4 separate regions of the Mus musculus genome follow, and regions 2, 3 and 4 are each reported to be linked to region 1. The links are microRNA targets in miRTarBase. Many come from high-throughput screens and were not tested one by one. Region 1 holds a microRNA gene; each other region holds the end of a gene's coding sequence.
What was found. The annotated mature microRNA mmu-miR-7b-5p reads UGGAAGACUUGUGAUUUUGUUGUU and lies in region 1 at 4,402-4,425, shown strand. An mRNA with a match to its seed (bases 2 to 7 or 8) in the 3' UTR can be bound and repressed. Matches are read on the target gene's strand: a 7mer-m8 pairs with bases 2 to 8, a 7mer-A1 pairs with bases 2 to 7 and ends in A, and an 8mer does both.

Region 2: the mRNA of Crls1 is a reported target of mmu-miR-7b-5p. Seed matches in the 3' UTR shown: 8mer at 1,939-1,946.
Region 3: miRTarBase lists Scamp3 as a target of mmu-miR-7b-5p. The part of its 3' UTR that is shown has no 7-base or 8-base seed match.
Region 4: the mRNA of Chrnb2 is a reported target of mmu-miR-7b-5p. Seed matches in the 3' UTR shown: 7mer-m8 at 3,238-3,244 and 8mer at 4,384-4,391.

Annotation. Positions count from the first base shown.
Region 1 is chr17:56,238,616-56,245,731 of GRCm38, forward strand. Mir7b (microRNA 7b) reads left to right here and starts at 4,373; the gene lies at 4,373-4,483. It overlaps A230051N06Rik (RIKEN cDNA A230051N06 gene), which reads left to right and starts at 3,101. Exons shown (of 2, transcript NR_155493.1): 1 at 3,101-3,199; 2 at 3,541-4,190.
Region 2 is chr2:132,864,552-132,871,667 of GRCm38, forward strand. Crls1 (cardiolipin synthase 1) reads left to right here. Exons shown (of 7, transcript NM_001024385.1): 7 at 1,286-2,222. The coding sequence ends at 1,373. Lrrn4 (leucine rich repeat neuronal 4) reads right to left here. Exons shown (of 5, transcript NM_177303.4): 5 at 3,965-6,352. The coding sequence ends at 5,149. Among named protein-coding and RNA genes, the nearest start is that of Lrrn4, 13 kb to the right of the region's middle.
Region 3 is chr3:89,181,022-89,188,137 of GRCm38, reverse strand. It overlaps Scamp3 (secretory carrier membrane protein 3), which reads right to left. Exons shown (of 9, transcript NM_011886.3): 7 at 6,862-6,963; 8 at 6,095-6,212; 9 at 5,368-5,839. The coding sequence ends at 5,693. Gm45927 (predicted gene, 45927) reads right to left here. Exons shown (of 19, transcript NM_001310017.1): 17 at 6,862-6,963; 18 at 6,095-6,212; 19 at 5,368-5,839. The coding sequence ends at 5,693. It overlaps Fam189b (family with sequence similarity 189, member B), which reads right to left and starts at 4,995. Exons shown (of 12, transcript NM_001014995.2): 1 at 4,190-4,995; 2 at 3,930-3,986; 3 at 3,615-3,725; 4 at 3,389-3,508; 5 at 3,142-3,249; 6 at 2,529-2,704; 7 at 2,305-2,404; 8 at 1,290-1,359; 9 at 534-1,079; 10 at 1-62. The coding sequence starts at 4,414. It overlaps Gm16069 (a long non-coding RNA gene), which reads left to right and starts at 3,711. Exons shown (of 3, transcript XR_003954659.1): 1 at 3,711-4,121; 2 at 5,161-6,230.
Region 4 is chr3:89,751,242-89,758,345 of GRCm38, reverse strand. It overlaps Chrnb2 (cholinergic receptor, nicotinic, beta polypeptide 2 (neuronal)), which reads left to right. Exons shown (of 6, transcript NM_009602.4): 6 at 1,076-4,898. The coding sequence ends at 1,246. Adar (adenosine deaminase, RNA-specific) reads right to left here. Exons shown (of 15, transcript NM_001146296.1): 15 at 4,891-7,104. Among named protein-coding and RNA genes, the nearest start is that of Chrnb2, 9.8 kb to the left of the region's middle.

The DNA of each region.
Region 1 (7,116 bases):
GCAAGGCTACACAGAGAAACCCTGTCTCGAAAAACAAAACAAAAAACAAAACAAACACACAAACAAAAAACCCTTCATTCATGCTGGGCAGTGATGGCACATGCCTTTAATCCTGGCACTTCAGAGGCAGAGAGAGGTAGACAGATTTCTGAGTTTGAGGTCAGCCTGGTCTACAGAGCAAGTTCCAGGACAGCCAGGGCTACGAAGACAAACCCTGTCTTAAAAAGAAAACAAAAGCAGCTCTTTCTCTTCTGGTCCCAGGCGGTGTGGGAGCCGTGGGTTACCGTGCAGACATGGCCAAGTCCAAGAACCACACCACACACAACCAGTCCCGAAAATGGCACAGAAATGGCATCAAGAAACCCCTGTCGCAAAGATACGAACCTCTTAAGGGGGTTGACCCGAAGTTCCTGAGGAACATGCGCCTTGCCAAGAAGCACAACAAGAAAGGCCTGAAGAAGATGCAGGCCAATAATGCAAAGGCAGTGAGTGCGCGCGCAGAGGCCATCAAGCCCAAGATGCCAAAAGGCCCCAAACTCAAGCGGCTGGCTTTCATCGCTCACCCTAAGATTGGGAAGTAAATTCGAAGCTACATGGCCAAGGGTCAGAGGCTCTGCCAACTGAAGCCTAAGGTCCAAACCAAGGCAGGGGCCAAAGCTCCAGATAAGGCCCAGGCTTCAGCTCCAACCCAGGCTTCCAAAGGTGCTCAGGCCCCCAAAGGTGCCCAGGCCCCTGTGAAGGCCCCATAGAAAAGGCTCCTGCCAGTGTGAAGACAGACAGACTGCTGTGACACACCTCCCCACACACTATTTGCAGATGATCAGTGTCCTATGCTGCTCTCACAAACTCAGGCAAGATCTGTAAAAAACAAAAACAAAAACACAACAAACAAAAAAAAATCAAAAGCAAAACAAACACACAAAACTTTCATTCATCGGTGCCTGCCCACACCCGTAGTTTTCATGACACAGGACACATTGAGGTGTCACCAGAGGGAGAAAGTGGGAATCATGAACCTTCACACAGTTTTCCAGGATAGGAGCAGAGCGCATCAACAAGGGAGACAGACCTGAGGGACTTGAGGCCAGTTGGAGCTGGAAATGGCAGCCTACACCTGTGATCCCAACTCTTAGAAAGCTGGGGCAGAGGATTTCAAATATGAGAGCAACCTCAGCTACAGAGCAAAGCCCCTATGTCAAAGAATTAAAATACACTGCTGGAGAGGTAACTGAAGTGTTTGCCACGCAAGTGTGAAGGACTGAATTTCATCCCAGCACCCATCAGAAACCAGGCATGGCAGTGAAAATAGCACACATGAGGAAGCACATGTGTAAGTTCCTGGACATTTTCTTCATGATGTCCAAACAGTGGCGTAGTTCAAGGACTCTGAGTCCTTGAACTAGGAAATATCTGATGGACAAAATCCATCCACAAAATGATTGTGATTCAATCCTGAGAGATGTGTGGGGGCAATGGAGCTGGAGGGTGAAGGCACTTGCTGTGGGGTGGCCTGAGTTCTATCCCTGGGACACATGTGGCAGAAGAAGAAAACCTACTCGTGCAAGGCTTTCACAGAGCTCCAGATAAGCACCATGGCGCGTGTGTGCACATGCATGAGGGTGGGCTTTCACACACCGTTTCACTTTCTATTGATTTGTATGTGCGGACATGGAACACAGGACCTCACAAATGTGAGAGAAGAAACCTGCCAAACAGCTTCCCGTAGCCCCAAACGATTCTCCAGCGTGGCAGTGGTGATGCCAACCTTTAATCCCAGCACTCAGGAGGCAGAGACAGGTTGATCTTTCTGAGTTTGAAGCCAGCCTGGTTTACACAGTGAGTTCCAGGACAGCCAGGGCTACACAATGAAGCCCTGTCTCAAAAAGCAAACAAGCAAGCAAGCAAGCAAACAAACAATAAAAAGAACAAGAATTCTCCAAAGGTTTAAAATGAATTAAATTAAATGTGGGCTGCAGGACCCACAAGCTCTCTGCTGACTTCTATGCATGTACTGTGCATGTGCACATAAATAAATAAATAAATAAATAAATAAATAAATAAATAAATAAATAAATAAATCTTATAATTTCAGGGAGATGACTTAGCTCTTTGAGGGACTGCAAGGCTCTGGGTTCATATCCAAATTGAAAGAATGGGAAGAAATAAGAGAGAAAAACAAAGGGCGTGGGGCATGCAAGTTTTACCCAAGAGACTGCTAGAAGGGAAAGGGACAACTGATCAGAGCTTAGATCTTGCAGGTGGCTTTCCAGGGTCTCATCCCAGGTTCCCTGCAGCCCCTCCTCCCATGCCCCTAGGGTGTATAGAATGAACCTGGCTTGCCAGCTCCGCAGCCTGAGGAGCTGGTAGGAGATTTACAAGCCTGAGTGTGTGTCCTCCCTGACTGTCTGTCCCTTTGGTGCTACAAAGGAAGCTATGTAAATGAAGGTGTGTGATGTGCCACACACCAGCCTTCCCAGTGCTGAGAAGGCTGAGGCAAGAGGATCACAAAAGTGAGAGAGACTGTGTTAGAGGGGGGAAACTGTGACTAGGGCTCAGGGACAGAGCGCTGGCCCAGCAATCAGAAAGCACTAAGTTCCATTCCCAGCACTGCATCAATCTAGTGTGGAGGCAAACTCCTGATGGGAGCCTGAGGCAGGAGAATCATAAGTTTGAGGTCATCATGGACTACAAATCAAGACCCTAACTCAAAACAAAACAAAAATCGCCAGAGCTCCGCCTCTATCCTACGCTTCTGTGAGTCTCATTCCCGCACACTTCATCTTCCCTGTGTAGAATTGGACTTTATTTTCAAAATCCCTCAATTTCTTCAAACATTTTTTTTCAGCTTCTCTGTCCCAGCAGGCACACGCTTGATGATCGCTAATCCTCTGGCTACTCAGTGATCAGGTTTTAGATGATCCTCTCGTGGAAACTTAACAGGCCACAGGACTACACCCTGACACCTTCTGGAGACCCCTAAAGAAGTTTTTGGACGGATGCCTGACTTTTATTCTGAAGCCGAGGCCTCAACCTATGAGGTAATCCTTGGAGCTTCATTCCAAGACGATTCCTATTGGTTCACTGGCTAAGCCCCACCCAGGGTTTCCAGCGCTCCGCCTTCCCCTTAAGCGCATAAAGGTGAAACGTCGGAAACTGGACAGCCACCGAGACACCTGCAGCTGCTGGTGAGCAGGAGAAGGTAAGGCACGAAGGAAGGAGGAAAAGGTGCGCTGAGGGAGGGAAGCGGGGACTCTGGGTACAATGCAAGTTGGCACATCTTCCAGAAGGCCAACTGGACTGTTTAGGAAGGGCAGAGAACCCAGGGCTGTCTCCCTGAGATGTGGGAGCAGGTGAGAGCCTTGCGCCTTCGTCCCCGCCTAGAACACCCCGGGTCCATGGGAAGAGATTAAAACAGAAGATGGGTCCCTAGGACGAAGAACAGAAACAAGGAGCGGGGCATTTTGGCAGAAGGCAGAAGCTGGGAGAGTGTCCTCGAGCCGCACTGACCACCCCCTCCCCCAATAACTAATTATGTTTCAGCACTGGAGACGCGGACAGCGCCATCCGGCTGAGGGACTCGGAGCAGAGTTCGGCTTCAGCACCAGGATTTCGGACAGCTCCCAGCGGGTCACGAAGAGACTAGGCTTCAGCACCCGGCCCCTGGCAGTGCCAAGCTCTCAACACCCAGCTTCAGGGATCGCCTTGGGGTCTGTTCTGGCGGAGAGTGTACAGGGAAGGAACCTCTTAATGGTTCTTGGCATTTGTCCTTTACGGAGGGATTTTTTTTTTCTTTTTTGAAACAGGGTTTTTTTGTGTGTACCTCTAGCTGTTCTGAAACTCACTATGTAGACTAGGCTGGCTTCAAACTCACAGAGTACAGGCGAAGCATTTGGTCAACGAGATGTTATGAGTGCCTCTGGGTGTACTAATTTCCAAAGTGAAGTGGTGAGGGGAAAGCCAGCCTCAATCCAACTTTAAATCTCAAGTTCTTTTTATTTTTAAAAAGAGTTTTTCTCTCAATTATATATATAATTATTATTATTTTAAAACACTGTAGACCAAGCTTTGAACTCCTTGTGTAGCCAAAGATGATCTTGAAGTTCTCATCCTCCTGCCTCTACTCCCTGCGTGCTGGGGTGACAAGTGTGTGCTCCTCGTGCCTGGAACAATAAATCCCACGTTGGTGATGTGCCAGGGTGTGAGTTGGGGGGCAGGTAGAGAATGAATCTTGCCTGTGTCTCAGGGGATGGAATGGAAAAGGGATGTCTAGGGAGGGTAAGTCAGTGAGTGGGGTTTGTTATGCTCAATCCTCTATGGAGAGAGAGAGAGAAGCACTTGAGGGTGTTGAACCTGGCGGAGGAGGATGAGGACGAGGAGCGGAGTACGTGAGCCAGTGCTATGTGGAAGACTTGTGATTTTGTTGTTCTGATATGATATGACAACAAGTCACAGCCAGCCTCATAGCGTGGACTCCTATCACCTTTCTCCTGAAATACACAAACAGGTAGGGGCAGGAAACTGGGACAGGAGGGGGTTAAGGGAAGTCTAGCACGGACAGGAGAGGGTGTCTAGCAAGGTCTCGGGCCCTGGGAGAGTGCAGGAGTGTTTCCCATGCTATTGGCCTGTCACTCAAACACATCTACATGATAGGATCAGAGACACAACCTCAGGGCCCTGGGTCACAGCACCGTGCTTTCTCTGGAGACTCAAATAGGGAATGGTGAGCCAGTGGAGTAACTCAGAGGGAAAGAGTGCTTTGAAATTAGGGAACCCAAGCTTGAGCCCCAGGATCAACTGGGTAGAAGGATAAAACCAACTCCTGCAAGTTGTCCTCTGACCATACATGTCCTGTGACACACATGCTTCCACACACAAATAAATAAACACACATAAAAATTTTTCTTTTTTTTTTTTTTAAGAGAGGGTTTCTGGGGCTGGTGAGATGGCTCAGTGGGTAAGAGCACCCGACTGCTCTTCCGAAGGTCCAGAGTTCAAATCCCAGCAACCACATGGTGGCTCACAACCATCTGTAATGAGATCTGACTCCCTCTTCTGGTGTCTGAAGACAGCTACAGTGTACTTACATATAATAAATAAATAAATCTTTAAAAAAAAAAAAAAGAATTACATTTAAAAAAAAAAAAAAAAGAGAGGGTTTCTGTATATAAACCTGGCTGTCTTAGAACTTACTCTGTAGACCAGGTTACCCTCAAATTCAGAGATCCACCTGCCTCTGCCTCCTGAGTGTTTGAATTAAAAGCATGTGCATACATAAAACTTTTTTTTTTTTTGGTTTTTTGAGACAGGGTTTCTCTGTATAGACCTGGCTGTTGCTCTGTAGACCAGGCTGGCCTCGAACTCAGAAATCTCCCTGCCTCTGTCTCCCAAGTGCTGGGATTAAAGGCATGCGCCACCACTGCCCGGCCATAAAACTTTTAAAAGAGGGATTGGCATCAAAGGTACTTCTAGAAAACCCTGAAATTCTTTTCTCTTTCTTGTTTTCTTTTCCTCACTCTTTTCACTTTGCCTGCTTTGAGACAGTGTCACCTGTAGTCCAGGCTTTTCTCTAACTCTGAATGTAGCCCAGGATGGCTTTGAACACTGAGTTCTCTTGCCTCCAGTCCCTGAGAACCATGCCTAGCATACACGGTGTTGGATTCAGAATTTCAAATGCTTTGACTGGGTACGGTACCCATGGAGCCCCAGCCCAATTTTCAATAAAACTCTGTGCCCGCCACACAAAGCAACCACTAGTTGCATGACTGATACCAAGAAAATGTGGACTTGTTGTCTGGTGGGTCATGGCATTCTTAACATTCAACACCTATCATCTGTGACATTCTAATGCAGTCACTAACCATCCCCCACTGTGCAATTCTCCCCAGCTGTCCTAGTGTGCATCCTGGTGCTGTGACAGGACCTTGACTCAAGAAAAGGGCAGGAAAGAGTTTATTCAGCTTACAATGATGGCCACACTCCATCACTGAGGGAAGTCAGGGCTGGAACCGGGAGGCAGGAGCTGATGCAGAGGCCATAGAGGGGTGTTGCTTACTGGTTGCTTACTTGCTTCCCCTGGCTTGCTCAGTCTTCTTTCTTATAGAATCTGGGACCACCAGTCCAAGGATGGCACCACCCACAATGGCCTTAAATCATTAATCATGAAAATACCTGATAAAGGCCTTTTCTCAATTGAGGTTCCTGCTTCCCTTAAGCTCCACCCGTGTAAAGCTGACATCAAACTCAGTCACACAGCAGCCCAGGGGCTGCTTTGTCCATGCAGTTTCCTCTCTTGGGTCTGCACAGTCCACTCACATAACCTCCCATAACCAACTCTGCCTTCTCCAGGCTTCAGCTCGGTGGGAGAAACTTCCTGTTACCTCACTGGTCAATTAGGACAAGACTTTGTTAACATTCTCAGCCTCCTGCAACGGCCACACTATTTAGGAAAGGCTGATACTCTCAAACAGAATGTTTACAGATCTCTTCTGGGGGACTCTAAGTGGGGCTCCACCCCTGACCATGCCCTCAACTCCTCACTGGGTGATTCTAGGAGACTCCACCACTGAACCTGGCCCCCATCCTTTACTGGGGTTTCTACGTGTGGGCTCAACCCATGACCCAAACCCAACTACAGGGAAAAAATACCAGGAAGAATTTAAGATGAAAACATGTAGATTCAAGGCAGGGTTTTTATTGATAAGTCATACTTCCAGCTTTTATTTTGTTTTTGTTTTTTTTTTTTTTTTTTGGAAACAGGATAACACTATATAGACTAAGCTTGTCTGAAACTCAAGAGACCCACCTGCTTCTGCTTTGCCTCTAGAGTGCTGGGGTTAAAGATGTGACCACATCCCACCCCGTGCCTGGCTTATCTTTTATTTATTTTTTTGAGGATGTCATGCTACTTATACCCTGAATAGCCTTGAACTCATGATCTTCCTGTCTCTGCTTTTTCATAATCTAGGGTGAGAGACTGTGATGGCAATCCTGCTACTGTGTTTCCCCAGTACTCTACCCAACTCACGGTGTTCAAAGGGTGCTCGATGAATGTGTGTTGAGTCCACAGTGGCGTCAAGGAATAGAGCCACGCAGCAGCAGCAGTAAACAAAACCCATC
Region 2 (7,116 bases), not on the chromosome of region 1:
GTTCCTGCAGTATCCATGCAGAGTTTTTAGCTGGATTGTGCATGCAGTTGGCTACTATAATTTCATGTGTGCAGTATCTTTGTCATGTCCAATAAATACTATTTTGTGGCAAATGCCCAGCACCTCTGGCTCTTATAATTTTCCTCTGCTGCTTGCATGTTAATCCCTGAGCCTTGCAGTCGGGAGTGTGATATAGCTCTTCTGTTTGCACTGTACATTCCTAACACTCATCAGAGCAGCTGCTTTTTACAGTAGATAGTGATTAACACAACTAACCAATGTGTTAGTCTTACTGTAACACAACTAACACTATCTTAGCCTTACTGTAAGGCATGGAAGACAGAAGTTAGCAGTCACAACTTAGAGGGATGAGAAGGATTGCTGATGTGTTAGGAGTTTTGGAGGAAAAGAAAGTAAGAAGAGGGACAAATAACTGCAGGAAGGAAGTGTCATTTGAGCCATATGGATAGGTGAGCTGGGTGCCCAGGAGACACTGGACAGTGGTATTAAAGACCCAGCCTAGTGGAGGGTGCAGTGGGAGGGCACCCCAGGGTGAGCACTTTGAATTCTAATTCCTCAGCTGTGAATATCTTGAAATGTGTCAAACTCAAACTTTCAAATAAATAGGTTGTAAATAGGCTGCCATGTTGATGGTTAGTGATATTTAGTAAACATTTAATTATATTTAAAACTTGCTTTAGAGCTCTAAACAAAGTTGATTGGTTAATCAAAGTAAATTATACTAAACACTTTTTAAAATGATACAGTCTAAACTTCATTTTCTTACATAAAATATAGGGGTTGGTTTTTTTTTCCCTTTTGTATTTTGGGTTATTGATGGAGGATCTTTTTCTCTCAAACTGCACCCAGATACAACATGATCTCCTGTTTCTGCTTCAGGGCATTGCATGACTTTAGGTGGCCCCAAGCAGCCTTAAGTAGGAACTGTCTAGTTTGAGCCATATCACTCCAGTCTGTTTATAGTTGTTGCCATTCATGTCTGTATGAGAGTGCTTTTGTGGGAGAACATCGAACACCTAGGGTTGTGTGTGGGAAAGGATAGTCACTAGTACTACTAGTCTTTAGGCCTCGGTAATTATAGATGGCTTTTATTTGGCATCACCAGTGTAAATGAGGTCTTAAAGGAAGCCGTGAATTTTGATTTTGTAGTTAGACAGTTTTACCACACAGCCCTGTTTTCTTAGCTCGTTTTCACGTGTGTACTTCATGATTTCCGTGGTCGCTGTTTTTGAATTTGAAACTGAATCCTATTTCTCTCTTCAAGGTGTTGCACAGCATTCACTACAGCTGCATCAGCATACAGTTATTATCACTATGGTCGGAAAACTGTTCAGGTGATAAAGGGCAAATGAGAAGCACCCAGATCCAGCAGCAAGGAAGCAACTTCGTCATCGGCAGCAGCGCCAGCGAAAGCTACAGGACTTTCCTGATCTTGGTGTTCAGCTTGCGAAAGGTCTTGTCAGACAAACCATGTCTTCAAAACTGAAGAAATGTACGGCGAAAATAAGCTCGATCATGGGCCTATACAGAATTTCCAGTGTATTTTTAAATACAAATAAAACTATAATGTAGAATTTTTAATCTTAGGTTTTTGATTAATTTGTGAGATGAATTATTCTTGTTTTTTTTTTTTTTTATGTTTTTTAAAAACATAGTTGGTAACATGGAAACAAAGGAAAGCAGGAGGGAATTTCCTAAGATTGGATACACACCATACACAGCATGTCTATACATTTTTATGCTTGAATTTTAAATCTATAAATACATTAACAGTTCATGTGATTAATACTTGATCATTTGAAAACTGAGAATAAACTTAGCTGTGGGTACTGTAAAGGTGTACAGAGCTTTAAAATGCAGTACATTTTGAAAACAAAAAAGAACAAATAAAACAGAAGGCATTGAAGTTCACGAGTAGTCTTCCAGCCTCTCAGGTACCAAATAGTTTATGTATCAGGATAACAGATAACGCAGGAGTCAGAGGGAGAACACATGTATTACGCTTTGCATCTTACAGGCAAAGCATGACATCATGCCTTCTCCCTGTTTGTAATGGGATGTTTGATACTGGAACCAGTGCTCATATGTCATGTAAATAGGATGAAACTTTCTATTTTTCAAAGTTTTTTTTTTTTTTTTTAACTTTGGGGAATCTTCTATTGTTAACATGATAAAAAAGAAATAAAAGAGCTGGAAAAAAATCCATGCCTTGCACTTGGGTTGTCCTGTGGTGTGTGTTGATGAGACTATATAAGTTCCCCGATCTGTGACGTGCACTTAGATGCAGCACTTCCCCCTGTGTTGTAAAACTTACTGATTCCAGACCATCTGACCATAAAGACCTGCTCTACCCGTGTGTTTAGAGAAGTGAGCTCCAGGTAGAGTCAGGAGCTGGGAGGCTCCTCCACATACTAGAGGCTCTTGGTTGCCCTCTCTCCTTAGCTTAACCTAAGAATCGTGTGGATGTAAAAGTTTGTCTGCACCTGCCCTTGCTTTGAAATAACGACAAGGAGACCTGGAATATTTATTGATAAACTTCTTGCACTACAGCTGGACAGGGTTCTGATCTATTCTAACCCTGCTATGCTGCCTACCACCCAGCCACATGCCCCATTACCTACCTTCCTAGTCTCACCCTGGCTGTTCCTCCCTATCCGTGTCCTCATGGCAACTCCCTCCTGGCCACTCAACACTCTCCACCCAGGACCCCCTCACTCAGATTGGAAGTCTAGCCTTAACTCTCCTCCCCAGCCCTAGGCTGATCAGCTCTTGAACCAATCAGAGGTAAAGGAAAACAATATCTCAATATCTTACAAAATACCGAGTCAGAACATGCTTTGTAATGATGACAATACCAAACTCTGGACTGCACCCAGATGATGTCCGGGTACAGAAATCAGCATTTGAATACACTGCACAGAAACATTCCCCAACATGCTACTATACAGTAAGCCTCTAGTCATTTTGTTGAACTGTGTTCAAATAGAAGTTAAGAGACAGAAACTCAAGCTTTATTGCATTGTGCAGCTCTGTTGCTGGTCCTGACGTCTTAGCCACTGTGGTGGTTTGGATGAGAATGCCTCCAGTCTCGGGTGTTTGAATGTTTGGTTTAGGAGAAGTGTGTCACTGGGGACAGACGTTGAGGTTTCAAGGCCACGTGCCATTCCCAGTTTGCTCTCTGCTTTTGCTTGTGAGTCAGGATTTGAACTGTCTCATCTTTTAGCTCCAACTGCCGTTCCTACCTGCTGCCAGCTTCCTACCCTCTGAAACCACAAGTAAATAACCCTTTCCTTATGTAAGTTGCTTTGGTCATGGTGTTTTGTCACAGCAGTAGAGAAGTAATGTAGCCACCCAGTCTTAGAACATACTAAACTCTACAACTGAATCACAGGGGCAAGAGAAAAGATGGGCAAGGCTGGCCATTGCCTCTGCCTCAACTCTCCCATCACAGTTTTCTAACTGAGAGCTGCTGAGGCTAGAGATGGAAGGACTGCTGGAGCATCCAGGATGGTGATTGAGAAATGTCAAAAAGGTGGCAGAGTGCTTATGGAGGAAATTAGATGTTTACTCCGTTTAATTATATTAGCTTATTGCAGTTATTGTTAACCCATAGTATCCTTAGAATGAAGGGCTTTCGACCTAGCTCTGGTCAACACACTTTTTCTGTATCTACTCTTACAGTCCAAATGCCCTCAGGATCTTCTGTATTGAATTGTTACAAAATACATCCTGTCCATTTAACATACTAGAATTTTATTTAAATGAGAATATTAGAATATACATTTATGTATACAAATTGGCAAATTTATTAAGTGTCTCCATAGAATAGACTCATTCTTGAGAGTAGGCTAGAAACACTGAGGCCATTTAATTATGTGTTAGGACTTAATACTAATTCACATTTTGGCCTTTGTAACTTTCTTTTAAATTTTTTTTTTTTATTAATCATTCCATTCGTTTACTTCTCAAATGATATCCCTCTTCCTGGTTCCTCTTCCACAAATTCCCATCCCACATCTGCCCTCTCCCCCGCTCCCCGTTGCCTCTATGAGGGTGCTCCCCCACCCACTCCCACTCCACTGCCTTTGTAAGTTTTAAAGTGGGATTTAGAGAGATCTTTCAAATTCTCCTGGGCATATATTTGATGAGAATAAGGATACAGTTTAGAATGTTGAAAACATGCTTGGATAACCCACTTAGAAATGTATAGTGTGATTCATATTCAGGTTCAGCTTTGATAAACTTGCTGTCTGCAGCATGGTGTTTGTGCTACAGCCTGTTTTGAAGATGAGAGATGAATTCAAACAACTTTTCCTTACAATAGAAATAAGCACTGTTGTGAGTTCAATTTTGCCTCCGCTCCAAATGTTTATAATCCCACCATTTGGAAAGACAGAGGCAGAAGGATCTAAGTTGAGACCAACATGGGTGAAATACAGAAAGACTTGGAAGCAAATTGCCTGTGTCTCACAAATGTTACCAGAAGGCCAGTTTTAACTGTAACTCTGGAAATACATGTTTTGACACACCCTGAAATACAAGTAAGAATCCAGAAGGCCTTAGCAAACCAACAATAGCTCTTACCTTGGCTATCAGCTCAAGGCCAACAGAACTCATTGTGCTAAAATCGGGCCACAAGGGAACGTCCATGCAAGAAACTTAGAGATGGCATTTCTAAAGGAGTTGTTCCTTCTTACAACTGCTTTGTTATCCCATCTCCTTCAGTGTAGTATCTCACTTGGTACTGAGGGATATACGGAGTACTGACCAATGTAAAGGATGTCACAGAATGACAGGAGCTAGTAAGACAGGCGTAGTGAGAACAACTATAGGAGGAAGGGTGATACACTCATTCCTTCAACAGAGGAGGACACAGTGTAGTTCTGTGTGAGCCTGAGACATGGTGGCTTCAGGGAATTTGAAGCTCATGTTGTCCTTAGGCATCAGCATGTTTCTGCATGCAGATGTATTTCAAATAGGAGACACGGGGATAATTGAAGTTCTGGAGCCTCTGCAGGTGGCCAAGGCTGGTTTGTTTAATCTGGTTGCTGGAAGGAAAATCAAGGCCTCAAATGTGTCTGATTTGGATGTTGGGGATAAACCCAAGGCCTTGTACAGGCTAGGAAGTCACTCCCACTGAGTTACTTCCTCAGCTCTGGCTGGGTTTTTGAAGGCCACCAGGTGTGTGTCGTAGAACTGCCTGTGTGGCTTCCAGCGCTGCCTCCAGAGACACACAGACAGCACCAGGGTGCTAACCAGTAACAGGCCACTGGCGGTACACAGTCCCCAGAAGATGACCACAGAGCTGGGCTTGGTTGTGAAAGTGGCACATGACCTCCTCCAGCCTGAGGTCTGTGACTGGCTCAGGCCAGCCCTGTTGGCTGCCAGTACACACACATGGTAGGTGGTGCCAGGTGTCAGCTTGTACAGGGGGTGCTGCCTGGCAGTAGCATAGATGTCCACTACGGATTGATTCCCAGATCGTCCTTCTGCCACATAGTGGATCTGATACCAGAGCACCACTGAGTTGGGGGCACACCAGTGGACGAGCACTGATGTGTCAGTCACCTCTGACACCCCCTGCAGCGTGGGAGGGTCTGGAGTGGTATCCTCCCCACTGAGACCAGGGCAACGGCATCTGAAGCGCCTCTGCAGCTCTGCGCACGGGGTCTGCAGATGCTTGCAGGGGTGGTATTCACAAGAGACGTCCTGGGGAGGTGCCGCCACCTGGTCCCGAGTCTCCTCCTCCTCGCTGTCATCATCTAACAGCAAAACTGGAATCTCATCCTGTGGAGGGTCTGTGTGGAGAGCCCTGGGCGTGGCTTGTGTCCTCTGCTTGGTCTGAGGTAAGCTCCTGGGGTTTGGTGAAGTAGGCAAGGGTTCAAGGTACTTGCTGACTAATGGGGTAGAGGCAGATGAAATATTAGGCTCAAGGATATGTGTGGCAGTCTGCTCTGCCCCAGAACTGGCAGCACCAGGCAGAGCCCTGGAAGGACTATAAACTAGCTCAGAGTTAGTGGACTGGGCAGTTTCCTCTGAAGCATCTTTATACATCCATGATCCTTGTGTGGGGGAAGTCATGGTGAGGGAAGGGACCTTGGTGATATTTTGTTGGCTTCCTCCAGGCTGAGCAGACAAGGCCGTGCTCTGTTCAATGGAAGGCCCCTGTATCCGTGGTGCAAAAACTGAATGATCGAAGCGGCCTGGGTTTGAAGGCAGGAGGGTGGTGCTTTGGTCTGACCTGCACACATTAGACAGGTGGGAGAGGGAGAGAGGGCCTGAGAAGGGGCCCGTGGATCCTAAAGCAGGCTCACACATGGTATCAGCTGCCCTGTAAGGGAAACCACTCATTAGGAGATACCTGGATTTCAAGCTTTGGAATCCTTAATGTGGGGTGTCTCCTCTGTCAACATATCTCTATCTGATATTGTCTGGTAACATCGTTTTATTGGCCCAGGAAACTTTTGAAGGAAGTCCCTTCATCCCTTCTGGGCAAAACAAGAAATAGGAAGAAGGAGCTAACTACCCAAGATGTCATAGCTAGCAAATGGCAGAGCACAGCCGTATCTACAGTAGGAAGTGGAACAAAGCCAGACTTTCTGGCTTTAGCCTGTGCTCTCAACATCTTTTTTTAACATCATGGTTAGCCCCTGGCTCTTAAGGGATTTGGCGATAACCATGGGAAACAAAGTAGGGAATGGAAGTGAGGAGCCCCACACCACAGCTGGACTTTTGAGGATGGTTGATTCCAAAATGGAGCAATTAGCTGGTGGGGATGGTCTAGGAGTGCTCACGATAAGTAATATCCCTAGATTGTTAGCACCCATCTTCTCACACCTGCTTGGGTATGGATCCCCTGGTGTATCTTAGAGAAAAGCTCTACTAAGCCAAGAGATACCTTGAGAATTGGTTTCCTGCCAGGAGAAAGCTCTGTAAGCATACTAGCCTCAGGCTGAATGGTCAAGAGCTGGGCTGCCTCTTGGGTGGTCAAAGGGCCTAGTCATTAAGAGCACAGGTGGAGATGGAGATGAATACTGCCTGCAACATCTAACAGCTACATGAGTTAAGATATCAAGTGCTTCACTTGTTTGGGCT
Region 3 (7,116 bases), not on the chromosome of region 1:
TGCAGAGGAGACAGAGGCAGCTTCTTCCTCAAGCACTTTGGTATAAAGGTCCCTGAAGTCAGCTGGGGAGGAGAAACAAGGACAGTGTAAGATTGCTAGATGAACACACCTCTCCTCCATCCGCATTCAAGGAGCGATCGCTTCTGCCTACAACTAAATGCTATGGTGTAGGAAGATGGGTTCTTTAATGCTGTCCCTCACTGCTTTTGCCTCCCCAGCTCTGCTTAGGGTCCCCACATGGGAGTTCGGGCCACTTCCTGTGTGGCTGTGAACTATTTCGCTTTATCTCTTAGTAACTCAGAGACTTGTGGTTGATCTGTTGCTATAACGGAGTGGTTTTGTAGCCTAGGCTTAGGTGCTGTGGAGATGGTTTCAAAAACTAAGTCCTCCCACCTGGTTAGCCGTGAAGCCTCTGTCCCTGGGAGGTGGGCATTCAGAAAGGACACTGCGGGGGAGTAACTTCACCTCCTCGGCCTTAGGAATCTCACAGGGACCCAGTCCTAGTGGATTATCCTTCCCCAAACTAGGCTCACCGATGTCGCTGGAGGTGGTAATGCCAGGGTCGCTGTGAGACCTGGGCAGCAGCAGTGGTGGAGGAGGTGTCCGGTGAGGAGGTCGGTGTCCGGGTGGGGTGAGGGAACCTGAGCTATCACTGAAGCGTCGAGCTGGTGCTCGGGCAGGAGGGGGTGCAGCTGAGCGGCTGCCTCCTCGGGGGACCCGCCGCCTCAGCTCGGGGAAACAAGGTCCCACCCAGGGCGGCCAGCCTTCTAACCGGTGGCAACTGCGAGCAGCTGTGGGGGCACCCAGTGGGGGTGGGGCTTCAGGGGCTGAGCAGGAATAGGAGCGGGCAGCCCGTGGGGGTCGCCTTGGCAAGGGACTGTCTTCAAAGGGACCCCGGAGGCCGCAGTCCAGGCTAAGGCAGTAGCCTGCGCGGCTGCGCTGGATGGAGCGGAAGAGCACATAATCGACGGAGCGCACAGAGCCCTGGAGTTCCAGCAGGCATGAGTCTTCTGATGGGCTAGAGCCCCCGGGGAGGTCGCCAATGGCAGACAACACCAGGGACCCACTGTCCATGGACACTGTGGGTGGCAAGGGAGGGCGAGGTGGGATTTCATCAGGGCAGCTGCTTTTGCCCATTCTGACTCCAGCTTTTATCCTCAAGGAGACAGACAGGCCCAGGGTTCTAAAGTAGCTTCGTTACTCCAAACCTTCAGATTAACTTGGCTGGCCTTGTTTCCCCTCCTTCCGGCCCCACCCCGCCCTTGTCCACTCTGGCCCATTTTGCTCACCGTCCACAATGGAGGCCACCCGCTCACAGACACAGGAGCCATCGTGAAGCTGAGGGTCAAACAGAGTGGCCTGTAGAAGACACAGGATGGAAAGTCCGGCCTGTCACACTGGCATGGCCACTCCCATGTACTGGCAAAAGCTCTGGCGACCAGAGATTCCAGAGCAGCTTTGTCACTCTGTATGAGTTCGTTGCTTTTTGTTTGATTGCTTTTTGTTCTCTTTGTTGAAGAGGGGGTTTACTGCGTAGCTTAAGCTAGCCTTTCAACTCCTAACTTTGCTGCCTCCACTTCCCAAGTGCTGTGATTGTAGGCATATGCCACTCCACCTGGCTTTCTATAAGTCGCTTAAGGGGGCATCAGTTTCCATATCTTTATTTTTTATTTATTTTTTGAGAAGGTCCCTGAAGCCCTGGTTGGCCTAGAACTCTCTATGTAGACCAGGTTGCCCATGGTCTTTCTGCTTCTGCCTCTCCAGGGCTGGGATTACAGGAGTGAACCATCATGCCCCAGCTACACATCTTTTTTTTTTTTTTTTTTAAAGATTTATTTATTATATGTAAGTACACTGTAGCTGTCTTCAGGCACACCAGAAGAGGGTGTCAGATCTCATTACAGGTGAGCCACCATGTGGTTGCTGGGATTTGAACTCAGGACCTTTGGAAGAGCAGTCAGTGCTCTTACCCACTGAGCCATCTCGCCAGCCCCCAACTACACATCTTTAAAAGAGAAATATTAGCCGGGTATGGTGGCGCACACCTTTAATCCCCGCAGGCAGGCGGATTTCTGAGTTCGAGGCCAGCCTGGTCTACAGAGTGAGTTCCAGGACAGCCAGGGCTACACAAAGAAACCCTGTCTCAAAAAACAACAACAACAACAAAAAAGAGAAATACTAGTTCATCTCCCACCCACCTCAGCAGCTCTAGGGCAGATCAAAGATGCCAGCAGGCTGGTATCCTTGCAAGCAGCCGTCTTGGCTCCATGCACTGCTCCCAGCTACACCAAGCTCTTTCCTCACCTGGCTGTCTCTTCGCAGCCCCATGACGGCCTCGTAAGAAGGGGGGCAGTCAGTAGGATACAAGGGCACTGGGCTATCCATGGAGCCATTATACGTGATGCTGGCAGGATGAGGGAGAGGATCAGGGTCTGGAAACTAACTCCTACTCCACAGCTATGCCTCCCAGCAATCCAGTCCCTCCCCCCAGCAGCCCCTTGCTCCCCCACCCCCACCTCCAGCCTTACCTTTGTGCATCTGTCTCTGAACTGCAGGTGTACTCTGGAGGGTAGTAGGGTGGTGGGGGCACAGGCGGGACAAATTCCTCCAAGTCCAGCATGGTGTGTAGGAGAGGAGCTGGAGGCGAGGATGTACACGCCAGGGGCCCTAGGGGGCCTGAGACTGACCGTTCAGGGGCAAGCTGCTAGAGAGCAAGCCTGGTTTCAAATTTCTTCCCTTTCTGCTATTTTTATGGCCCTACTTCCACCAAGAAGATCCAGTTCCACCCTTCCTCAGCCACACCCAGCTTCTTCATCCTGCCTCACGCTGAACCTCCAGCTCTGGCTTTGTCCACCCATATATCTCTCCTTTTCTAGCTTCACATCTATCCATAATTGTCACCTGTTCCCTGTCACCATACAACTACCCATCCTTTATCCCCTCCTCATCCTAGGACCTTCCAGATTCCACCCCATCCAGTCTTCCTCACTCTCCCTTCAGCACTCAACATCCCCGAAATAAATATCCTCAGGTCACCTGTAGCTATGCCTGGCAGGCCCAGGCCCAGCACACACACACACACATACACACAAACCCAGCTCCCACCACCCCTGTCTGCTTGGGCCTTGGCTCCCTTCTTACCATATGCACCAGATCCAGGGAGAAGATCTGGACACAGCAGACAATAGCAGAGAGGGTACAGATTATTGCAGCACAAATGGTAAGGCCACAGACACTGAAGAGCAGGTTCTGGAGAAGATAAAGGAGAAGAGTAAGGGGCCCGGGACAGAAAAACCTTACACACTTGAGCCTTTGAAAACTCCAGGAGGGGAGCAAAGGAGACCCAAAATAAGAGTGTAGGGGGAAGGGCTGGGGAGGGCTTCTTCACCTTGAGGGCCCCTCTGGCTTCATCACAGGTGGAGTTGAGGGCAACTTTCAGCTCCTGGCCCCATTCTGGGCAAGGTCTGTGTAGGGGGATAGGTGGGCAGCATACACAGACCTTCCCTTCCTGTGTGGGAGTGCAAAGGGCAAGGCAGCCCGGGTCAGAGCAAACTCACGGCTTCCTCCCATCTCTCCTAACCCCTTCCTTCCAGGTTTCCCTCCTCAAATCTCACCATGGAGCACTCTCGGAAGTCCCGAGCCAGCTGAGCATTCTTACAGGAGAGAACAGAGCCAGCCATGCTAAGCATGACACAGAGCACCGAAAGCAAGGAGAAGAAAGAGATCTGAGGGAAAGAAGGTGGCATCTCAGGGCTGGGACCTTCAGCAGCATCCCTCTTCCACAGAATGAGCCACCCTCTTCTCAGACAGCTTCTGCTAGCCTTATACCAACTGGAAAGCTCCTGGGAGGCATAACGGGGGGGGGGGGGGTAAATCCCCTTCGCTGCTGGGCACCTGCTTCCTAGTGGGCATCGGGCCTTGGCACCTACCACTAGAGTGAATGGCCGCTTCCAGGACACAATGCCAACCAACCCGGAGAACGCCAGCTAGGGACAGAGTGGGCACAGGCTCAGCTTGGCAGGGGAAGCACCTAAGTGAGCCCCTTGCCACAGGATGCACCCAGCCCTGCAAGGAGGGAGAGGACTGGGAGAAGAAGGAAAGACAACCATGTGGGCTTGCAGGTGAGGAGGGATGGGGCCTAAGAAGCTTCCCCCACCCCAGTACTATATACTCTTTGGACCCCACTCACCGAGAACCCAGCCCAAGATGGGCAGGACCTCTTGATGCTCTCGGTGGTGGTGACAGAGGAGGCCACCATGCTGAAGGTTATCACCAGGATGCCCAAGAGCACCTGGGCCAGCCCCAACGTGAGCAGGGCCTGGAGCCAGGGTCGGTGGAGGCGGAGGTGGGTAAGGCCCCGGGTACTGGGCCGGCTGGTCAGCGAGCGACTGGAGTCACTGGGCGAGGGCATCATGCCTGCCGCCCAGTTGCTCGCACCTCGCTCGGTCCCCCTTGATACTTGTGAGCATCTCAGAAGCACCCAAGCCCTGGTTCTTTATCCTTTCCACAGCCCTCGCTGTAAAGCCCACCTCCTGGCTAGGTCCTCTGGGGCATCGCCCAGGGACGCCAGCTGGAAGGAGGCCCAAAGGAGGGGCGTCACGAAGGGACAGTGAGGGGCTCCCTCCCCACCACCAAACGGGTACCGTGCCCGGGGAGGCGATGAGGACGCGAGGGCACCGGTTCATTGCATTTCCTTAATGAAGAGGGGTGCCGAGAAGGGCTGATCCCAGACTGAAGAGTAGCGTTCCGGAACCCAGGCAAGGGTGGGGAGGGCAAAAGCGAGAGGGATGCAAACAAGTCTACAGAGAGGGGGAAGGTCTGCATGCAGGAACTAGAGGTGCGTTTGGCCATTCAGGGCCGCCTGGTGGGGAGAGGCCGTGGAAACTGTCTCCAGAGTCGCAGACCCGCTCCCCTCCCCACCATGCTCGGCTTCCTTAGCTCCTCCAGCTGCAGCAGGTCAGCCTGTGGAGGTGGGGGATGGTGGATGGTGCGTGGTGCGGAGGAGGGGTGTGGTGGGTGGTGCAATGCATCCCGGGAGCTGTAGTCTGAAAGCAACCCTGGGGAAGGGAGGAGATAGGGAGAGGCCCTCCTCCATCCCTAGCCTCGCCCTGAAGCCTGAGCAGTTAAGGATCATTTCTGGGTCCATTTTCTGCCCCACAGGTTCCCGGGATGAGGTGTTCACACCAAAAGGGACTGACTGCTCATTCATCATTAACAGAGGCATGGTAAACCGAGCTGGGGCTCCCCCATCTCCCGCCTATCAGCCTGCCCACTTTGCCAAGTGCAACCCTCTCCTTGCAGAGTGTTTCCACCCCAGTTCCCCACTCCATACAATGGCCCAATCTCCAGTAAAGATACAGGAAATGGGTGAGTTCCAGTTACACTTTTTTTTCTTTAATTTAAATAACGGAAGAAGACATCCTTGGCACAGCAGAAGGAAACTGGGGTTGGGGTTGTGTGAGAGGTGGCGGCAGCAGTGTGGCCAGATGGGAGATAAAAGGCAAATAATGACTGAGTCACAGCGGGCTCTCCACACCTCAAGTCAGGATTAAAGTCATGGCTGTGGAATGAAGAGCCCCATAGAAGTCACCAAGTGGTGATGGCTCCCTGAATCCCAGAGACTTCAGGGATAGGGACTATCTTGGTTCCCACAGGTGACAGGCCCAGGGCATCCCAGCGGGTGCAGCAGGGGTCAAGGGGCCCTGAAGGCATTTTCAGCAGCTCCGGCAGCTGCATTGGCAGCAGCAGTTCGAACCGCAGGGTTGGAGAAGACACCAGCAGCAAATTCTTGCTGGGCCTTCTGAAAGCTGGCACCCGTTTGGCGGTACAGGGAGTGGATCTGCAAGAGGGAAGAGATTATAAGGGAGGCAGGCCCCTCCCATCCCAGGAGGATGGCACCACTCACTAGTCTCCTGCTTTGTACCGTTCCTTCTGCGTTGGCACTCCCTCCAAACACACAAACTCACCCACCCAAGAAAGTCCATTAGTTGATAACCCACCCGCCCTGCCCCATTTCCTTAATGTTCCACTCAGCAGCCCCTAGGGACCCAATGATCTCACTCCCCAGCCCCACCTTCTCCCGACCGGCCCTCACCCGCTTCAGCATCACGATTCCCAGCACTGCGATGCCGGTGAAGAGCAGGGCGACGAGCAGCATGAGCACCGCCACGGCAGGTTTGGATCCCACCACCACCAGAGCAGTCACCCAGCCGCTGTGGGAAGATGCACGGGTGAGGACCGACCACTCTGCCGGGGCTCTGCTCACCCGGAGTCCCCTAGGTCTAAGAACATGCTCCAGGCCCATCAACGGTCAGGGCCTCGGCCAATATGGCGGCATCCCATGAACCAATCCCACTACATCTATTCTCTTCATACTTTTCAGTCATTTCTGAAGCATCCGCTCCTAGCTCTCCTGGCATCCTCATGAAAAACAGATTCGAGCCAGGCATGGTGGCCCACGGCTTTAATCCTAGCACTCGGGAGGCAGAGGCAGGCAGATTTCTGAGTTCGAGGTCAGCCAGGTCTACAAAGTAAGTTCCAGGACAGGACAGCCAGGGCTACACAGAGAAACCCTGTCTCAAAAAAACCAAGAAAAAAAAAGAGAGAGAGAGAAAGAGATCCTTCTCACTTCTGGGCACTCCCTTGATCTTTCGTCCATTGTGACATGGCCTCTCCAGGAAAATTAATTTTCAGCCTCTGCCTGTCTACTGCTGTCTTGGCTCTAGCCATAGAGTGCCCTGACTTCAGTTACATTAGTCTTTCCCAAGGAAAAGACCCACATGACCCTTAGTTGGACAACCCCATTAAACTGAGTTGCCCAATGTGTGAGGAAGGGCTGAGGACGAATGGTAGCTCACACACCTGAAGCCCCACCCTGGGATGCCAATGGCCTGGAGGACAAAGAACACATCCTGGACGAAGAAAATGAAGAAAAAAACGAAGAAATTGAATGAACTATCACTCCTGCAAAGAGAAAAAAAGCAAGTGTGGGAGAATTAGAAAATGAGGTTCAGAGCAGCTCCCATCACCTCTCACTGCATCTCACTGTAGCCCTTCTCTCATCACCTCACTGCATCTCACTGCAGCCCTTCCTCCCATCACCTCTCACTGCATCTC
Region 4 (7,104 bases), not on the chromosome of region 1:
GAACAGGGCTTCCTTCCTACCCAGCAGAGCTTGCTGTAAGCGTCATCTCCTAGAAGAGGCTTTTCCAGGCCCATCCCATCTTCCTTCTGTTTCTCCATCCTAGTCTTCCATCCCCTCTCACTGTATGATCTCTGAGAGGTTTATTGTCTCTGTCTCCTTGAAGATACTCAAAACCATAGGGTTCTTCACTTGGTTGTGTCTCCGAGCCTTGCAGGATGCCAGGTCTGTGGCAGGCCCAACTGTGACTTCAGTGAGTGACTGTTTGGCTGCCAGCTACATGAATTGCACAGTTGCTGGCTCCCTATCTTGTGTCCTGTGATCTGGCTGGGGCCCAGATAAACACATACAAAAAGACAGGACTCAGTCTGGAAGAGAAGCTGGCTTTTCCTGTGACCCTGTAGATGGTTCTCAAACCCCACGGATATCATTACCTTTTGGACTGATGTTTTAACACTTGGGCACCACTTGCACCTTCTGGGTTCTGTGTAGGAGTGAGGTTGAGGTTGTGGGAGGGTGTCTCAAGCTATCATAAAAGCAGAGCCCCAGAGGCAGCACCTCTGAGTTACTGAGAGCCTTGTCCCGGATGCTGGCAGGGTCCCTCTCATGTTTGGTGGAAGGCCAGACATACAGATTGAAACAATATAGTATACTGAGTTAGCTAGTGCCAGGGACCAACCGGAGCAGGGAAGCCATTAATTGTTTGGTGAATAGACAATTAGGAAATTAGGGCTTTGAAATATGTGTAGGAGTTTACCAGTTTTGTTTGTTTTGTTTTGTTTTAAGGAAGTGAGAGAGCTAAGAAGACATGTTGTAGTTCTTACTAAGTTTGAGTTTTGGGGTGTGGGAGGTAGTAGGAAGTAGACTCCTATTTGTTACGGGTAGGTTCGGGTGGGCCCCGGGGGCAGTGGGAGCACTAGAGACTTTGGAGTAGGCAGGATCAGAGCCATGAATAGTTGTTCTGGGTTTGCTGAGGGAGAGGAGTGGGGGTGGGGGGGTGCACACGTGGTAGGGACTTTCCTGCCTCTTCCCACACCAGGTGACTGATATCTGGGTCACCTTCATTTCCTCCATCCAGGTGAGGGAGGATTGGAAATACGTTGCCATGGTGATCGACCGCCTGTTCCTCTGGATCTTTGTCTTTGTCTGTGTCTTTGGGACCATTGGCATGTTCCTGCAGCCTCTCTTCCAGAACTACACTGCCACGACCTTCCTTCACTCTGACCACTCAGCTCCCAGCTCCAAGTGAGGTCTCTCATTTGCAGCTACTCATCCCGTGACCCCTGGGGTTCAGTAGTATTGGGTGGAAGATGGATTGATCCCCACTCCACTGAAGTCTGCTTCACACCTCCATTCGCACAGAGGCCTCCAGCCTGGAGGCTGGACCAGCTGCCTCATGTTCAAGCATTCTCCCTCCCCTCTGAGCTGATTCAGGCAGTAGTGTTAACGGTGGGGGCCAAGGCTGGTAAGTAGAGGCCAGAGATCTCAGAGCCACCTATCTGATGAGGGTGCTAGAGAAGGGGCCAAGAAAGGGACAGTTATCTATGGCTTCCGAGTCATGGGAGAAGAGAAGGTAGGATGAGGAGTTCAGATTCTGTAGCCAGGCTGACAATGGTGTCTCCTGAGATAAAAGGTGCAGGGTATGGCTAGTAATTGGCTTAGGTGGACAACACTGGTCTGGGAAGACTTGCAGTTTTAGGGAGTCCTCTTGAGAGCTCCTACAATTCTCCTGGGATGCTTCATCCACAGCCTGTGCCTCAGAGGGCTCCAGAACCCAGCCCCAGCTTCTGCCAGTGCAGAATTCTCTGTATCTCTAGATTTTTCTCTTTCCTTTCTCACTTGGGAAAGGTGAGGTGTTGGGCGAACCTTTGAAGGTCATGAGCTAGGTGAGAAGTCTAGGCTCACAGTTTTAGAAGAACATTTACAGTGCTGGCCTTCATTGGGAGCCATGTTACAGATTCAGAACAAGCCTAGAAGGTGGGTCCCTTCTTCCTTGCCCCAAGGCCACGGACTGCTTAAAGGACATAAGTGACAGACATCTAAACTGTGCCTCAGTGTCAGATGAACTCATGGGCATCTCTGTTTGGTGACTGGAGAGACAGACCTCCTACTAGAACAGGAAATTAAAGGTTGCCGGTGTAAGACCCCTCTCCAACCCCCATAAACTTCCAGACCCAGAGAAAGCACCCTGAAGTCATAAGCAGCACCTGGCTAGGTACTGTCCCTCTGGAGGGTAGCACCAGTGTTGGTTTTCCAGCCTCTGTGAGACCCCACCAGCTACAGCTAGGACCACTCTTGACTTTACTACCTCCTGTAACTGTCTGATGTCCAAATTAGTCACCAGCCAGGACTGGAAAGATCAGTGAACAGTTTGTCCAGCTCCTTTCCGTATCCTGTTGAACATATCAGGCAAACAGCGCCCATCTTAGAACCTGCTCCCAGCATTTACACTGTGGGAATAAAGGTAGGCAGGGCTGTGCTGGGTGAAAGGGACCCTGGCGTGTGGAGGATCATGGGAGCAGTGCTGTTCTTGCCATTTTTAGTGCAGCCTTTGGAGGAAGACTGCAGTGGGGGAGGGGTGGTAGGAGGCTATCATGTGTCAGGATGGTTTGAACCCTAAAGGACATTGGGAGGTTTTGGGGAAACTCAGTCCCTACCACTTTGGGGCCTTCTGTCTCTATCCGTGCCTCCTCCTCCGTGGAGCTGTCTCTAGTGAGAATCAGGTACCTGATTTGGTGAACCTGGATGGGAACCTGGGACAGGGTGGCATGGGAGTGGCAGTGATGAAAGGTGTTGGGGACTCGAATCAGGGACTAAGCTCCAGTAACCTGGCAGCCGCCTTTGCCTAGGCAGATGGCCCACAGGCCCCCTGCCTCTGTGGAGACCTGCAAGTCTGGAGCAGCTAGTGCCAAGGGTGTGGAAAGCTGAGAACAAACAGGACACAGGACCCTCCAGAAGGCTCGTTTTGGGGAAAATTGAAGGGGAAGGACAGGACTTTCTTGTAAGAAACAAGGACAATGGTGGACCGGCCACTGTGCCTATGCTATGGGATCCCATCTCTTACAGCCCTGCAGGGAAGCTCTTGAGACCAGGGGCAGCAGCAGAGCGAGCATGACTTCCCATGGGACCTGCTCCTTGCCTGTCCCCATGGCCTTTGGGCAGGCGGGAGACTTCCTAGGGAGGAAAGCAAAGCCCTTTATAAAGAGCCTTCTCTGAATTGTTCCCCAAGAAGAGTGACAGGTCTTCCTGTTATCACCTTCTGCTTTCTGCTTCTAGGCAGAAGGGACTGTTGAGCCCCACATGCACTGACCAGCTTCCCACTCACCAACTGGTCAGAGCCAAGTGTCACTTTGTAGTAATTATCCCATCATGTCTGAGAAGTCTGTCAGTGTGCTGGTCACTTGCTTTCCAAAGGACCTGATCACTTTGGGAACTGGTAGGACACCTCACCCACCCACTGCACTGTCCTAGGTACGTCCTTGTCTTCATTCCTGGAATATTTTCCATGTCCCCCCCCCACCCCACCCCCGCCACAAACTTACTCCCCCATAGCTGGACTTATTTCTCTTAAAATTGTTTCCAAATATGTTGAGTTACTTTGTTCTGTTTGGGGTAAGGGGACTAACCCTTCCGGATCAGATTGGTAGATATAGAAGGGGAGGATGCTGGAGAATCTCCACTCAAGAGAGGGTAAAGCAAAAGTCAGCAAGGGTGAAGGGCAGTGTGTACTGCCCAGTCAGTGGTATCTGCTCCCTTTGTTAGATGCAAAAGAAATGGCCAGGTGGCTAGACCCAGAAGGGACCTCTGGGGAAGACCCTCTATAAGGAACCACCAGGGGTGGTGTGGGTTTGGGCTTCCTCTCCAGTCTGGGTTCTAAAATATCCAGGCTTCAGTGAGCTGGCAGACCCCCACTGCACAGGCTGTGCTCAGATCCTGGGATCAGAGTGAATCTGTGGGTGAGCCCTTGGGGCCTTCAGCTAGGCTTTAAGGAAACCATCTATCTTTAAATTTGAGGGCCAGGGATCAACGGAATCCACTTGTACGTGATGCCAATTTATCCTGAGCAACACTTCTAGCCCACAAAGCTGGATACACCCTCAGAAACTGGAATACTCCATTCCTCGAATTTGGACCCAGTGGCTGCTGGAGGACAGAGCCACTGAGACTTTAGGACAGCAGGAGTTGTCACCTCGAACTGCCTTTAAAACTGCTCAGCTCAGTTAAACAGGGAGTGACTACCACATGAAGCCCTGGACTTAAGTGCTGTGCCCCAAAACATGTCACTGGGTCTTCTGACCTCAGCTGACCCATCTGTCTAAAGGATTATGAGAGAGTTCACACTCAGTGTCTTTGGGTATGTTGTCACTGTTGAAAGGTCAAAGATAGGTCTTCCAGGAGTTCTGAAGTAAGTTACTAAGAGCTGGGTTTCCTTAAAATTTAAGAGGGGGACTTTCGATGCCATCCACAAAGTTAAAAGGTGCATCTGAATGTGTCGTGGTCCCAGCTGCAACTGCCTTCCAAAGGGCACGTACAGGACAGTAAAGGCCGAGGCTTGTGGGGAGAGCAACACCAGCAAGACTGGCAGGAGCAGAGATTTCTGCTGTCTCCAGTGCTGTTTTCTCATTTGGGGCTTTGAAATCTACTAAGCCCCACAACCCCCAAACTAGGAACAAAAGATGACAGAGTGGGCTCAGGTGGGAAAAGTTTTGAAGCAGGGAAAGTGCTGAGGACATAGCCGAGTCCCCAACTGGCTGGCACATCACACTGCCTGAACTACAGTCAGACTGTAGAAGCAGTGGGGCCCTTGAAACTACTGTGGCTGTGGCCAGAGATCCTGTCACAGGTCCCTGTTCCCAATCTCACCTCCCCCAAGAACCAAGATATAAAACTTTGTAACAGTCCTGATGCTTCAGTGTTTTTATTTTTAGGAATGTATACTGTCACTTGTAAAGGGACAGAGGGAGGGACTGCATCCATCACAGCGCCAAGGCTATGCCTGGGTGCTTCCCCACTCTGCTCTTGGAGTCACTGCTAAAACCCCAAGGCCAACAAAGTCCCTTCAACTTGAGTACAGGAAATAGTTTCAAGCATTGACAATTCTTACACATGATTATTCAAGGAATGCAAGACAGCCACGGTTCAGACAAATCAACTACAGAAAGTATTAAGAGACGGTGTGGAGGGAGGCCCTGCTTCTTAAAGTAAACGTGAAGGAAGCACAGTGGGAGGAGGCTCTGCCCTCGGCCAGCGGGACTGGAGGCAGGGTCAGGGTGGGATGCGGGGGTCAAGTCCACAGAACTCAGGGACACCTTGCTCTCTTCCATCTGCAGAAACCCAGAACCACTCGTTGTCTAGACAGGATTGGGGTATGTGTGAATACCCAGGGAGGACCAGAGGGACCAAAGGAATCAAAGGGAGAGACATCTCTGTCCTTTAGACCCCAGGGGAAGAGCTCCCTGTCCAGGCCTGGAAACCACAAGGGCTCTGCTTCAGATGCAGTTGCCGGAGGGTGACACGCCTCCAGCCGACACCACAAGCATGGTGCTGCTTTCTCACTTCCACAGACGCTGGAGTTTCATAGGATGATTTGGCTGTGCAAAGACATCCCCAGTGTATTGTGAAGACACAGGTTCTTGTGTTGGCCAGATCTGTTCATAGATTGAGGAGGCAGTAGCCATTAGACTTGAAGTACGAATGTGATGTTTGCTGTTGGCAGTGGGCCAGAGGGTGGGGGAACCAGGCAGCTCTGAGGGTTAAGCAAGGGGGTGCAGGAAACTGTTGAACACACTGGCCAGCTGTCTCCAGATGGAGCCACACCATTCAGAGGAAAGAGGTGGGCTTGGTCCTAGAGGGGCAGAATGGAGCAGGGTCTGGCTGGTTGATCTGATGCTAGAACCAGATTCTACAGAGGCTCCCACATACCCACAAGTCACTGTCAGAGGGGGAGGAGTCAAAGAAGCCCATCCCAGAGTGGGAGGCCAGCCTGCCCTGCCACCTACAACACTTGTATGTAAATGAAGATCCTCAAAGGAGCAGGGCAGAGATTCCAGGGCCCTGTGCCCTGTCCGTGACCCAGCTTCTGAAGCCATCTGATAGAATGAAAGTACATTTACTAATGGAGAAGTAATATTTGCATCTCCAGTCTTTGATGCAGTTCAGAATCAATGCCTCTGGCCTTTTAGAAACATTAATTCTATGCAGGGCTTTGTCACTTCTGCTGAGACCAGAAGAATCCCAGTGCACCGGCAGGATGCTCTGCCTTTACCTTTGCCGTCTGGGCAAAGCTGCTCTGCCCACTATGCTCACCCTCTGCTTTTCACAAACAGCTGGGGCCTGGGGCCAACACCACACGTGCCCAGGGCCAGCTTCTGGGAGTGCTCATGGAGGGGCAGATGGAGGCATAGCGACATTCCATGGAATGCTGGTGCACTCTAGTTAGTGCTTGTGGACCCCTACTGGGACGTGCTTGGTTTGGGTACCTTCCTCGGTCCCACTGGCCGATTCTCAACTTCCCTGCTGCCCAGGAAGGGAAGTTCCTTGGTGGGCCAGCACGGCCTGTTACTGGGTAGGGCTTGCCTGTCCCAACCACAGTTTACCACATTCCTGTTGTTCGACAATCCCTGACCACGGTTGTCAACTCCTGCCCTTGTAAACATTTCACCAATCCTTTATGTTCACCTCTATCCTCTGGGGTGGGGAAGGAGAAACCTCATCACAGGAAGGCATCCTAGGAGGGAAGGATGACAGAGCAGGGGCCTGCCTGCGCATCTGCAGGTGACATCACTGGCCCCTGACATCATTTACAGAGAACTGATGGGATGGAATCAAACCCACAAGAGGCCAGTGCAGCAAAGGAAAAGGAGATGAAAAAAACCTCCGCAAAACGAAGCCCGAGGGGCCTGGGCTCCATGTGACCAAGAACTGTCTGTGCTACATATGGAATGGTAGCATTTCCATTTCCTTTAATCTTGGCCTCTTCCCTTGAGAAAAGGGAGGTGGGGACTTGGCTGGACCCCACCTTGAAATCCCAAAGAAAGCAGTTCTTGGTACCATCTATTATGGTTCTACCATTAAAAAAGGGGGGAGTGGGTAAAAAAAGCTCCTATC